Linked DNA regions of Anolis sagrei. The protein of the gene in region 3 interacts with the protein of the main gene of each other region in a pairwise test. Links are inferred from orthologs where the notes say so. Each region holds a gene or a part of one and is shown on either strand. Other genes may lie near its edges.

The links.
Region 1: the proteins of GRN (region 3) and SMAD9 interact in binary tests that used the Homo sapiens proteins (3 or more experiments, as listed by UniProt). The link is inferred for Anolis sagrei from reciprocal best matches to the Homo sapiens genes GRN and SMAD9.
Region 2: the proteins of GRN (region 3) and PRKAB2 interact in binary tests that used the Homo sapiens proteins (3 or more experiments, as listed by UniProt). The link is inferred for Anolis sagrei from reciprocal best matches to the Homo sapiens genes GRN and PRKAB2.

Annotation. Positions count from the first base shown.
Region 1 is NC_090023.1:35,686,585-35,690,334, forward strand, and holds the start of SMAD9 (mothers against decapentaplegic homolog 9), read right to left. Parts: upstream 2,882-3,750; 5' UTR 2,589-2,881; intron 1-2,588. UniProt on the Homo sapiens protein: Transcriptional modulator activated by BMP (bone morphogenetic proteins) type 1 receptor kinase. SMAD9 is a receptor-regulated SMAD (R-SMAD).
Region 2 is NC_090024.1:132,489,358-132,493,107, forward strand, and holds the start of PRKAB2 (5'-AMP-activated protein kinase subunit beta-2), read right to left. Parts: upstream 2,661-3,750; 5' UTR 2,551-2,660; intron 2,383-2,550; exon of another isoform or gene 2,258-2,382; intron 1-2,257. UniProt on the Homo sapiens protein: Non-catalytic subunit of AMP-activated protein kinase (AMPK), an energy sensor protein kinase that plays a key role in regulating cellular energy metabolism.
Region 3 is NC_090026.1:47,779,093-47,782,842, forward strand, and holds the start of GRN (progranulin), read right to left. Parts: upstream 2,279-3,750; 5' UTR 2,197-2,278; intron 1-2,196. UniProt on the Homo sapiens protein: Secreted protein that acts as a key regulator of lysosomal function and as a growth factor involved in inflammation, wound healing and cell proliferation. Regulates protein trafficking to lysosomes, and also the activity of lysosomal enzymes.

The DNA.
Region 1 (3,750 bases), on a different chromosome or scaffold from region 3:
AACTGATGGCTGATACCAAATGAGAGACTCCCTCCTGGGCACACAGAAGACAGGGTGACTTAGAAGACGCTGAACAGACTATGCTGTGGTACCATGAGATGAAGAGCCAACCTTAAGAAATGGGGCCACAAGATGGAGCCCATGACATGTGAGTGTGGAGAAGAGCAAACTACAAACCACCTATTACAATGCATTCTGAGCCCTGCCATATGAAAAATTGAGTTTAGAGCAACACCAGAGGCACTCCAAGTGACCAGCTACTTGGCATTTAATAGAATGCCAAGATTTTAAATTTTGTGTTTTTAAATGCATACATCACAACTGTACCCTTGGTTCGCTCCAGATACAATAGATAAATAAATAAATGTGGATTTCATTGGCTTCTCTGACATGGTAGTTGTTACAGTGGTCCAGCATTTCTGTGTTCTCAAATAATATGCTATGTCCAGGTTGGTTCATCAGGTGCTCTGCTATGGCTGACTTCTCTGGTTGAGTTAGTCTGCTGTGCCTTGATTCATGTTTGGGAGCCACCACATTTACTTATTTATTTATAAATAAACAAATGTGGTGGAATTTGCATTGGCCTGTACAGCCCAGCTGTAAGGATAGCCGATAGTAAGATAGCTGGGTCCGCCTGCTACGAGCATTATGCAGATGCTGTAAAGGTGGTTGTGAATAAGGAAAGGGATCACATGGTTGAGAGAGGGGCGGAATGAGAGCGGGGAGAGCGCCACAGTGAGGGCGGGAATATATTTCGTAGTTGCATTTGGTGGAAGGATAGAAAGGAAGGGAGGGTTAGGATAAGGTTTAGGGTTAGAGTAAGGTTTAGGGTTAGGTTTCATAGAATCATAGAATCAAAGAGTTGGAAGAGACCTCATGGGCCATCCAGTCCAACCCCTGCCAAGAAGCAGGAATATTGCATTCAAATCACCCCTGACAGATGGCCATCCAGCCTCTGTTTAAAAACTTCCAAAGAAGAAGCCACACTCTGGGGCAGAGAGTTCCACTGCTGAATGGCTCTCACAGTCTGGAAGTTTTTCCTCATGTTCAGATGGAATCTCCTTTCTTGTAGTTTGAAGCCATTGTTTTGCGTCCTAGTCTCCAAGGAAGCAGAAAACAAGCTTGCTCCCTCCTCCCTGTGGCTCCTCTCACATATTTATACATAGCTATCATATCTCCTCTCAGCCTTCTCTTCTTCAGGCTAAACATGCCCAGCTCCTTAAGCCGCTCCTCATAGGGCTTGTTCTCCAGACCCTTGATCATTTTAGTCGCCCTCCTCTGGACACATTCCAGTTTAAGGTTAGGTTTAGGATTTGGGGTTAAGCTTAGGGTAAGGTTTAGCATTTGGGTATGGGTTTTACCATTAAAAGACTCTTACATTCCTTCTATAATATCTGTGTCCGGCCTGGCTTACATTACCTCAGTCTCTCACTCCGCCCCTGTCTCGGTCATGTGTTGTGTTCTGCGTTGCACCAACAATAGTTTCCAAGGAGTGGAGCGGAAACAGCGTAACACTCGTAGCAGGTGGACCCAGCTATCATACAATTACCCAAGGCCATTCAAAACTAATAAAGTTGGCCAACTGCAACGTTCACACCTGCCTCAAGCAGACAACAGTTCTTTCTCCCATCTGGGACATTCCACAGATATAGAAACTTAACTTGCTTACTTTCCAACAGACCTCGCAACCTCAAAGGATGCCTGCGAAACGTCAGGAGAGAACGCTTCTGTAGCATGGTCAGACAGGTCGGAAAACTCACAGCAACCCAGTGATTCCAGCCATGAAAGCCTTGGACAACAAAGAATACATGAAGGATTCCAATGGTAGGAAAGTGTGGGAAAATGACCAGGTAGTTTGAAGAGAGGTTTGCAACTCAGAGTCTGGATAGGGCAATGGCAAACTTGGCCCCTCCTTCCTGGTGTTTTGGACTTCAACTCCCACCATTCCTAACAGCTTCAGGCCCCTTCCTTTCCCCCTCAGCCGCTTAAGCGGCTGAGGGGGGAAAGGAAGGGGCCTGAGGCTGTTAGGAATGGTGGGAGTTGAAGTCCAAAATACCAGGAAGGAGGGAACAAGTTGGCCCAAGCCTGGACTCTGGACAATGCAAGCCAGTGCCTTGCTGCAGAAGGACAATTCAGACACCTGTAGTTGACGATTCCATTCGTAGCCCTGATGCAATCCCTCCTCTAACATTCCTCCTTCCATATGCATGCCTTTCCTTAGCCTTCAACTAAACCCCAGAGTTCCTATTAGCTGTTCAAAGGTGTCTACTTTTTTCCCCCCTGGGACAGCCTGCCTCCGGGGTTTGGGTGAGCCACGCAATGCAAGGCGAGGGGAAGCCCCTTCCAAGGAATCCCGGGGCAGCGGCTGCCAAACACACAGTCCTCCCGAGGGTCCGCTTCACAGCTTCGCACCTTCCTGGAAGATGCCTGAGACGCGGTGCCAAAGGGAGAGAAAAAAAAAGTTTGCAAAGTTGAGAGAGCAGGAAGGTGCGACAGAAAGGAAAGGAAAAGGATCCGTGCCAATTCTTGTATTGTTTTGCATTCACAGAATAATAATAATACCCATTCCCCAGCCCCCTCTGTCCTACCTGTCCGGAGGGCGATTCTGTCCGTAGGGCTGCGGCAATTTCTGCAAGAGCGGCTCCCCTTTTTGCCCCCTCCCTTGGCCAACTGGAAGGAGGGACGCGGCTACGAAATCGCCCCGCAAGAGGAGGAGGAGGAGGAAGAAGACGAAGAAGAAGCGGCCGCAAGCAACGAGGCAGGCAGGCAGGCAAGCAAGCAAGCAAGCAGCCTCCAGCCGGCGTCAGTCAGGCGGGAGCCTCGGAGCTTGTATTAGTGCGCCGACCTGGAACGCGGCCAGGAATCCCTTCTGGCTGGCTGGATGGATGGTTGGCTGGCTGGCTGGCTGGGCGCGCGGGCAAGTGCGCGCGCCGAGGGACGGACGGAGAACCAAGCCCGGCTGGGACTCGGGGGCGCGCGCACACCGAAGGAGGGCCTCGCGGGAGCGCGCGCCCTGGCCTTTCAGACCTCTAGTCTCAGCCACACTGAAGGGACCCTTCGCTCTGGAAGTGGGCGGGGAGGGCATTAAGAAAGGAGCAGGGCGGAGGAGGAATCATAAGAGTTGAAAGAGGCCATGCAATCCAACCCCCTGCCAAGAAGCAGGAAAATCGCATTCAACGCACCCCCGACAGGTGGCCATCCAGCCTCTGCTTAAAAGCCTCCAAAGAAAGAGCCTCCGCCACACTCCGGGGCAGAGAGTCATTATTATTATTATTATTATTATTATCTTTATTTGTACCCCGCTAGCATCAAACTTCCGTACAGTGGCCCTTATTTCTCATGCCAGTAAGGTAATGCTGAAGATCCTGCAAGGAAGACTCCAGCAACACATGGAGCGAGAGTTGCCAGATGTTCAAGCTGGGTTTAGAAAAGGCAGAGGAACCAGAGACCAGATTGCCAATTACTTACTTACTTAGGCGATCCCTCGTTGGACGAGTAAGATGGTCTTCCATTATGGATTTCCTTGTGGGTCCGTATGTGGCTGTGGAGCCCTATTCTTGCTCTGCATCTTCTTCTGCAGTGAGGGCATTGGTTTCCAGGTGGAAGGTGGTCCCGGTCGGGGTTGGCTTGACGCGCCTTCCTCCTGGCACATTTCACTATTTCACCCTCCACTCGTGCCTCCTCAAATTCTGCAGCACTGCTGGTCACAGCTGTCCTCCAGCTGGAGCGCTCAAGGGCCAGGGCTTCCCA
Region 2 (3,750 bases), on a different chromosome or scaffold from region 3:
GCTAAACATGCCCAGCTCTTTAAACCGCTCCTCACAGATACTTACAATCTCAAGAACTTTGATCATTTTAGAGGCCCTCCTCTGGACACCTTCCAGCTTGTCAATATTGCTTTTGAAGTGGCCATGGTGGAACTGACCATGGTGATACACACCTTAGTCACATCCATTTTAGATTACTGTATCGCACTCTAGGTAGGTCTGTGCTAGAGGGGCGTTCAGAAACTTCAACTGGTGCAAAGGTCAGCTGCCAGATTGCTCACAGGAGCAGAGTATAGGGAAAGAACTACCCCTCTCCTAAAACAACTACACTGGCTGCCAGTTTGTTTGTGGACGCAATTCAAGGTGCTGGCTTTAATCTATAAAGCCCTAAACAGTTGGGGCCCAGCGTACTTATTGGACTGCATCTCCTCCTATGAGCCCATATGAGCCCTAAGGTAATCAGGAGAGGCCCTATTCTCGGTCCCACCATCATCTCAAGCACGGCTGGTGAGAATAAGAGAGAGCCTTTTCAATGGTGGCCCCGCAGTTCTGGAACTCCCTCCCAAAAATGGTTAGTACAGCCCCCTCACTGCTGTTATTTCGGAAGCAAGTTGGGGAGACCAGTTATTTCTACTGGTCTCCCCAACGAAGACCAGTAGATTGACAGGCATTCTGATGTGCAATATGTCAACTATATAGTAGACCGTCAGTAACTGGTTTGTTTCATGGCATAAATTAATAGGACATTACATGGGTTTAACTGGTATGTTTTTAATTTATGTTGCTATGCTAGTTTTATGCTAGCTGTCATAGGTAATGGGAGTTTAATGTTTTAATGTCTTAAATTGTTAATTTCTCATTAGTTGGAGTTCATGTTTGTATTTTTTGTTTGTAATTGTCTTGATTTTACATGCTTTATGCCTCTTTGAGTACCATCGCAGGAGAAAAGCGGGATAGAAATAAATATAATAATAATAACAACAACAACAACAGCAACAGCAACAACAATAGTGGTGCCCAGAATTGGAGACAGTATTCCAACTGAGGTCTAACCAAAGCAGAATACAAAGGCATCATGACTTTCCTCAATCTAGACACTAGATTCCTTTTGATGTAGCCCAAAATCCCATTGGCTTTGTTGGTTCATGTTCAACTTGTTGTCCACGAAGACTCCAAGATCTGTCTCACATGGACTGTTCTTGAACTAAGCGTCACACATCCTGTAGCTTTGCATTTCATGTTTTTCATCAGGTGCTCTGCTATGGCTGACTTCTCTGGATGAAGTAGTCTGCAGTGCCTTTCATGTTCCTTGATTCGTGTTTGGGCAATGCTGTGTTTGGTGGTCCCTATGTAGACTTGTCCACAGCTACATGGTACACGGTAGACTCCTGCAGAAGTGAGAGGATCCCTCTTGTCCTTTACTGAACGTAGCATTTGTTGGATTTTTTGGTGGGTCTGTAGATAGTTTGTATGTTGTGTTTCCTCATAAATCCACCTGATGAACCAACCTGGACACAGCATTTTATTTGAGAACACAGAAATGCTGGACCACTCTCACAACCACCACGTCAGGCTACACAGAGAAGCCATTGAAATACATAAGCATGTGGACAATTTCAACAGAAAGGAGGAAACCATGAAAATGAACAAAATCTGGCTACCAGTATTAAAACTCTAAAATTACAACAGCACAACAACAGAGAGGAAACAAACAAGGACATCTAATTACTTCTCAACAAAGTTTGCTCTAGGCACTGTCAGGCCATCAAATGCTAATCAAGGTGGTCAGTTGAAACATTCACACCTAGCTCCAGCAGACAAGAGTCCTTTGTCCCACCCTGGTCATTCCACAGATATATAAACCCTTTTTCCTAGTTCCAACAGACCTCACTACCTCTGAGGATGCTTGCCATAGATGCAGGCGAAACGTCAGGAGAGAATGCCTCTAGACCATGGCCATATACCCCGAAAAAACCTACAACAACCCAGTGATTCCGGCCATGAAAGCCTTCGACAATACATTAATAAAGATGTTGAACAGAGCTGGGCGCATCTCTGAGAGATAGAATCATATAGTTGGAAGAGACCTCATGGGCCAGCCAGTCCAACCCCCTGCCAAGAAGCAGGAAAAATGCATTCAAAGCACCCCCGACAGATGGCCATCCAGCCTCTGTTTCAAAACTTCCAAAGAAGGAGCCTTTACCACACTCTGGGGCAGAGAGTTCCACTGCTGAACGGCTCTCACAGTCAGGAAGTATAGACATTCCACTTGCCTCACCATCAACAGAACATCTGAGGATGCCTGCCACAGATGCAGGCGAAACGTCAGGAGAGAATGCTACAGGAACATGGCCATACAACCCGAAAAAGCTCACAGCAACCCAGTGTTTTCGACCATAAAAGCCTTCGACAACACAATTAGAGCCTTGTTTGAATGTCCTCAGGCCGGGGGGGGGGGGGTTGAGCCTTGTCCCAAAAGCCGCCATGGCAGCCCTGCCTTGCCCTTCCTTCCCCTCCCGGAGCAACTTCGGGCCCTTCCCGAAGAAGTCTGAGGAGGAGCTCTGCACTCACCCTCAGGGCGGCCTCCTCCTCCTCCTCCTCCTCCTCTTCGGGCAAGATGGCAGTGGAGAAAAAAGAACTGCGCATGCGCATGACGCTGCTCGGCTTGCCTCTCCTGCCCCGAAAACAGAGCGAGCGAGAGCGGGAAGCGGAAAAGGGAAAATATGTTCCGCTTCCGGTGTTGAGGCCTTCTCTGGGAATGGGAATGGCGGACGTGTAACAGTCTAGGAGTCGGCAGTCAATGAAGTAAATAGTTATACCTTATGTGAGCCTTATCACGGCCTCAGGGAGAGAAGGATAGGAATCGGGACGCCTCCCCCTCACTCCCTCCCTCTCCAGTTCTACCGCCTGATTTGTGTCCATTCCCTTCCTGCATATAGAGCAGGCCTTCTCCTGCAGTGTGGGTCTCCAACTCCCAGAAGCCCTCGCCAGCTTCTTCAATGGTTAGGAATTCTGGGAGTTGGAGGCCCAAATAGCTAGTTGGAGGAGGCCTAGGATGGAAGTGTTTGTCCAATGCAAACTGCAGAGGGACATTGCTGGCACAGGATATTTTGAAAAACCAAAATCTCCATAACCTTTTGGGAAACAAATGGCATTCACAACCATTTGAAAATCATAATCTTTCGTACAAGTATGCTCTTCCAAAGAGCCAAAAACCCGTTTGAGTAAAATTTTGTCTTCGGTGGTATATATCCACATACCCAAAACTGTTGTAACAGTCTTGGACAGCAATGGTTCCCAAAGTGACCCATTTAAGTGACTCAAAACGATCTTGACAGACTAGAGAGATGGGCCAAAACTAACAAAATGAAGTTCAACAGTGAAAAATGCAAGATACTGCACTTTGGCAGGAAAAACAAAATGCAAAGATATAGAATGGGGGACAATGCCTGGCTCAAGAGCAGTATGTGTGAAAAAGATCTTGGAGTCCCCGTGGACAACAAGTTAAACATGAGCCAACAATGTGATGTGGCGGCAAAAAAAGCCAGTGGGATTTTGGCCTGCATCAATAAGAGCATAGTGTCTAGATCTAGGGAAGTAATGCTACCCCTCTATTCTGCTTTGGTTAGACCACACCTGGAATATTGTGTCCAATTCTGGGCACCACAATTGAAGAGAGATGACGAAGATTTCACGAAGATTTCGGAGACTCACGAAGATTTCTACAAGCTGGAATGTGTCCAGAGGAGGGCGACTAAAATGATCAAGGGT
Region 3 (3,750 bases):
GAAGATAACAGTTCCTATGGTTCTACAGCATTGGCAGTTAAAGTAGTTCCAAACTGCATTAATTCCATCGCGTAGATGCCGCCAACCATAACAACACAGATCAGTTCCATCTAACCCAGGGGGCATCTACACTGTAGAGTTAATGCAGTTTGGTACCACTTTAACTGTGAGGAATCAGTTTGGTGAGGCACCAGCACTCCTTGGCAGAAAAGGCTAAAGAATGACCTTGTAAATTCTACAATACCCATAACTCCATAGTATTGTCATGGCAGTTAAAGTGGTATCAAACTGCTTTAATTCTACAGTGTAGATGCATTCTGGAAGCCAGGAAATGAGAAAGCAGGAGTCCCTAGCTGGCTATACTTCAAATCTCTCACTGAACAGGAAGGCATTTGTTGCCTATCATGGCTGATATATCTATATAAATAAAAATTGTAATGTTCGTTTGTGGGATTAACATAACTCAAAAACCACTGGACGAATTGACACCAAATTTGGACACAAGATACCTATCAGGCCAACGAGTGACAATCACTCAAAAAATTGATTTTGTCATTTGGGAGTTGTAGTTGCTGGGCTTTATAGTTAACCTACAATCAAAGAGCATTCTGAACTCCACCAATGAGGGAATTGAACCAAACGTGGCACACAGGACTCCCATGATCAACAGAAAACACTAGAAGGTTTTGATGAGCATTGACCTTGAATTTGGGAGTTGTAGTTCACCTCCATCCAGCGAGCACTGTGGACTCAAACAATGATGGATCTGGACCAAACTTGGCACGAATATTCCATATGCCCAAATGTGAGCACAGATGGAGTTTGGGGAAAAGAGAACTTGACATTTGGGATTTGTAGTTACTGGGATTTATAGTTCACCTACAATCAAAGAGCATTCTGAACCCCACGAATGACAGAATTGGGGCAAACTTCCCACACAGAACCCCCATGACCAACAGAAAATACTTATGGCCATCCAGTCCAACTCCCTTCACCAGGGCAAGAAAAAATAATCAAAGCCCTCCTGACAAAGAGCCATCCAGCTATAGATATATATATGATTCACAGAGAGAGATATAGTATCATAGATTTGAAAGGAACCCCTAAAGAAGGACAATTCTATGTTGCATGTTCCAGGGTGGGCAAACCAGATAATCTCCACATCAACACTGACAAAGAAACAGCAAGAAATACTAGGTTCTTGTGGGTTTTTTTCGGGCTATATGGCCACGTTCTAGAGGCATTTTCTCCTGACATTTCGCCTGCATCTATGGCAAGCATCCTCAGAGGTAGTGAGGTCTGTTGGAGTTTGGAACATGGGTTTATATTTCTGTGGAATGACTGGGGTTGGACAAAGAGCTCTTCTCTGCTGGAGCTAGGTGTGAATGTTTCAACTGACCGTCTTCATTAGCATTTGAAGGCCTGGCTGAGCCTGGGGGAATCAAAATCTGGCTACCAGTATTTAAAAAAACTAAAATTACAACAGCAAAACAGCAGAGAGGAAACAACCAGGCACATCTTAACACCTCTCAACAAAAGATTCCCCCAGGCTCAGCTAGGCCTTCAAATGCTCATTGGTCAGTTGAAACATGACCAGTCAGTTGAAACATGACCAAGGTGGTCAGTTGAAACATTCACACCTAGCTCCAGCAGAGAAGAGCACTTTGCCCCACCCCAGTCATTCCACAGATATATAAATAAACCCATTTTCCAAACTCCAACAGACCTCACTACCTCTGAGGATGCTTGCCATAGATGCAGGCGAAACGTCAGGAGAAAATGCCTCTAGAACATGGCCATATAGCCCGAAAAAACCCACAAGAACCTAGTGATTCCAGCCATGAAAGCCTTCGACAATACAGCAAAAATACTGTTTATCCACAAGTATAAATAAATTACATATATTAGGAACCAACACTTTCTCATTACTTTATTTTCCAGATCACCAGACTGGGCCACAGCAACGCATGGCAGGGGACAGCTAGTTATTATTATTATTATTATTATTATTATTACTCTATCATTACTACAACTATTATTATGATGATTATTATTATAATTTCTACTACAACTACTATCATCATCATCATCATTACTTTGATCTATATGCCGCTTTTGCTCTCTTAACTAAACTCAAAACGCCTAACAGTGATTTTGAAAAGTATTCTATACAATTCCAATGTAAACACAACTCACCCAGGCTTTCCCACTGCAGCCAGTTCCAACCCGCTAATGCACAGACTGGCTCAGAGAATGCACTCTCTTCCTACCGCAAGGGGATTGGTTGTTTTTCCCCAGGGGGGCGTGGCGTAGGTAGGTAGAACGCCGGTTCCTCGTATTTGATTGGCTGGTTCGCAGCTTGGGCCCATCCTACCGCAGTGGGTCTTGGCAGAGGCGATCATATGACCCTCTTTCTCAATTTTTCAAAGGCGCGCATGATCTCCTCGGGTTGGGAAGGATCGCACGTGACAGAAGGGAAGAAAAGAAAAAAGAGGGGTCAGGCCAGGCATTAAACCCGGAAGTGGTAACCGAGAAGGGTGTCTCTGAGTGCATGCAGAGGGCAGGGAAAATGGCTTGGTTTTGTTTTTTTAAATCACACTTTCCAGAATCCTTGTCAACATTGTGGTAATTGTAGTCCCCCCCCCCCCCCAAAAGTCACTTTCCAGGCTACACTGTGGAATTAATTCGGTTTGACACCACTTTAATGCTGTGGAATCATAGGATTATTGTTTTCTAGTACTCTAATAAGGCTCCAAATTGGCCTAAAACAGAGGGAGGCTAAAATGATCAAGGGTCTGGAGAACAAGCCCTATGAGGAGCGGCTTAAGGAGCTCAGCATGTTTAGCCCTATTCTGCCTTGGTTAGACCACATCTGGAATATTGTGTTCAATTCTGGGCACCACAAATGAAGAGGGGTGTTGACAAGCTGGAATGTGTCCAGAGGAGGGTAACTAAAGTGATCAAGGGTCTGGAGAACAAGCCCTATAAGGAGCGGCTTAAAGAGCTCAGCATGTTTAGCCCTCTTCTGCCTTGGTTCGACCACACCTGGAATATTGTGTCCTATCCTGGGCACCACAATTGAAGAGGGGTGTTGACAAGCTGGAATGTGACTAAAATGATCAAGGGTCTGGAGAACAAGCCCTATGAGAAGCGGCTTAAAGAGCTGGGCATGTTTAGCCCTGTTCTGCCTTGGTTGGACCACACCTGGAATATTGTGTCCAATCCTGGGCACCACAATTGAAGAGGGGTGTTGACAAGCTGGAATGTGTCCAGAGGAGGGCAACTAAAATGATCAAGGGTCTGGAGAACAAGCCCTATGAGGAGCGGCTTAAAGAGCTAGGCATGTTTAGCCCTATTCTGCCTTGGTTAGACCACACCTGGAATATTGTGTCCAATTCTGGGCACCACAATTGAAGTGGGATGACAAGCTGGAACGTGTCAAGAGGAGGGCGGCTAAAAATGATCAAGGGTCTGGAGGACAAGCCCTATGAGGAGCGGCTTAAAGAGCTCAGCATGTTTAGCCCTGTTCTGCCTTGGTTAGACCACACCTGGAATATTGTGTCCAATTCTGGGCACCACAATTGAAGAGGGGTGTTGAGGGTGACTAAAATGATCAAGGGTCTGGAGAACAAGCCCTATGAGGAGCGGCTTAAAGAGCCAGGCATGTTTAGCCCTATTCTGCCTTGGTTAGACCACACCTGGACTATTGTGTCCAATTCTGGGCACCACAATTGAAGAGGGGTGTTGAGG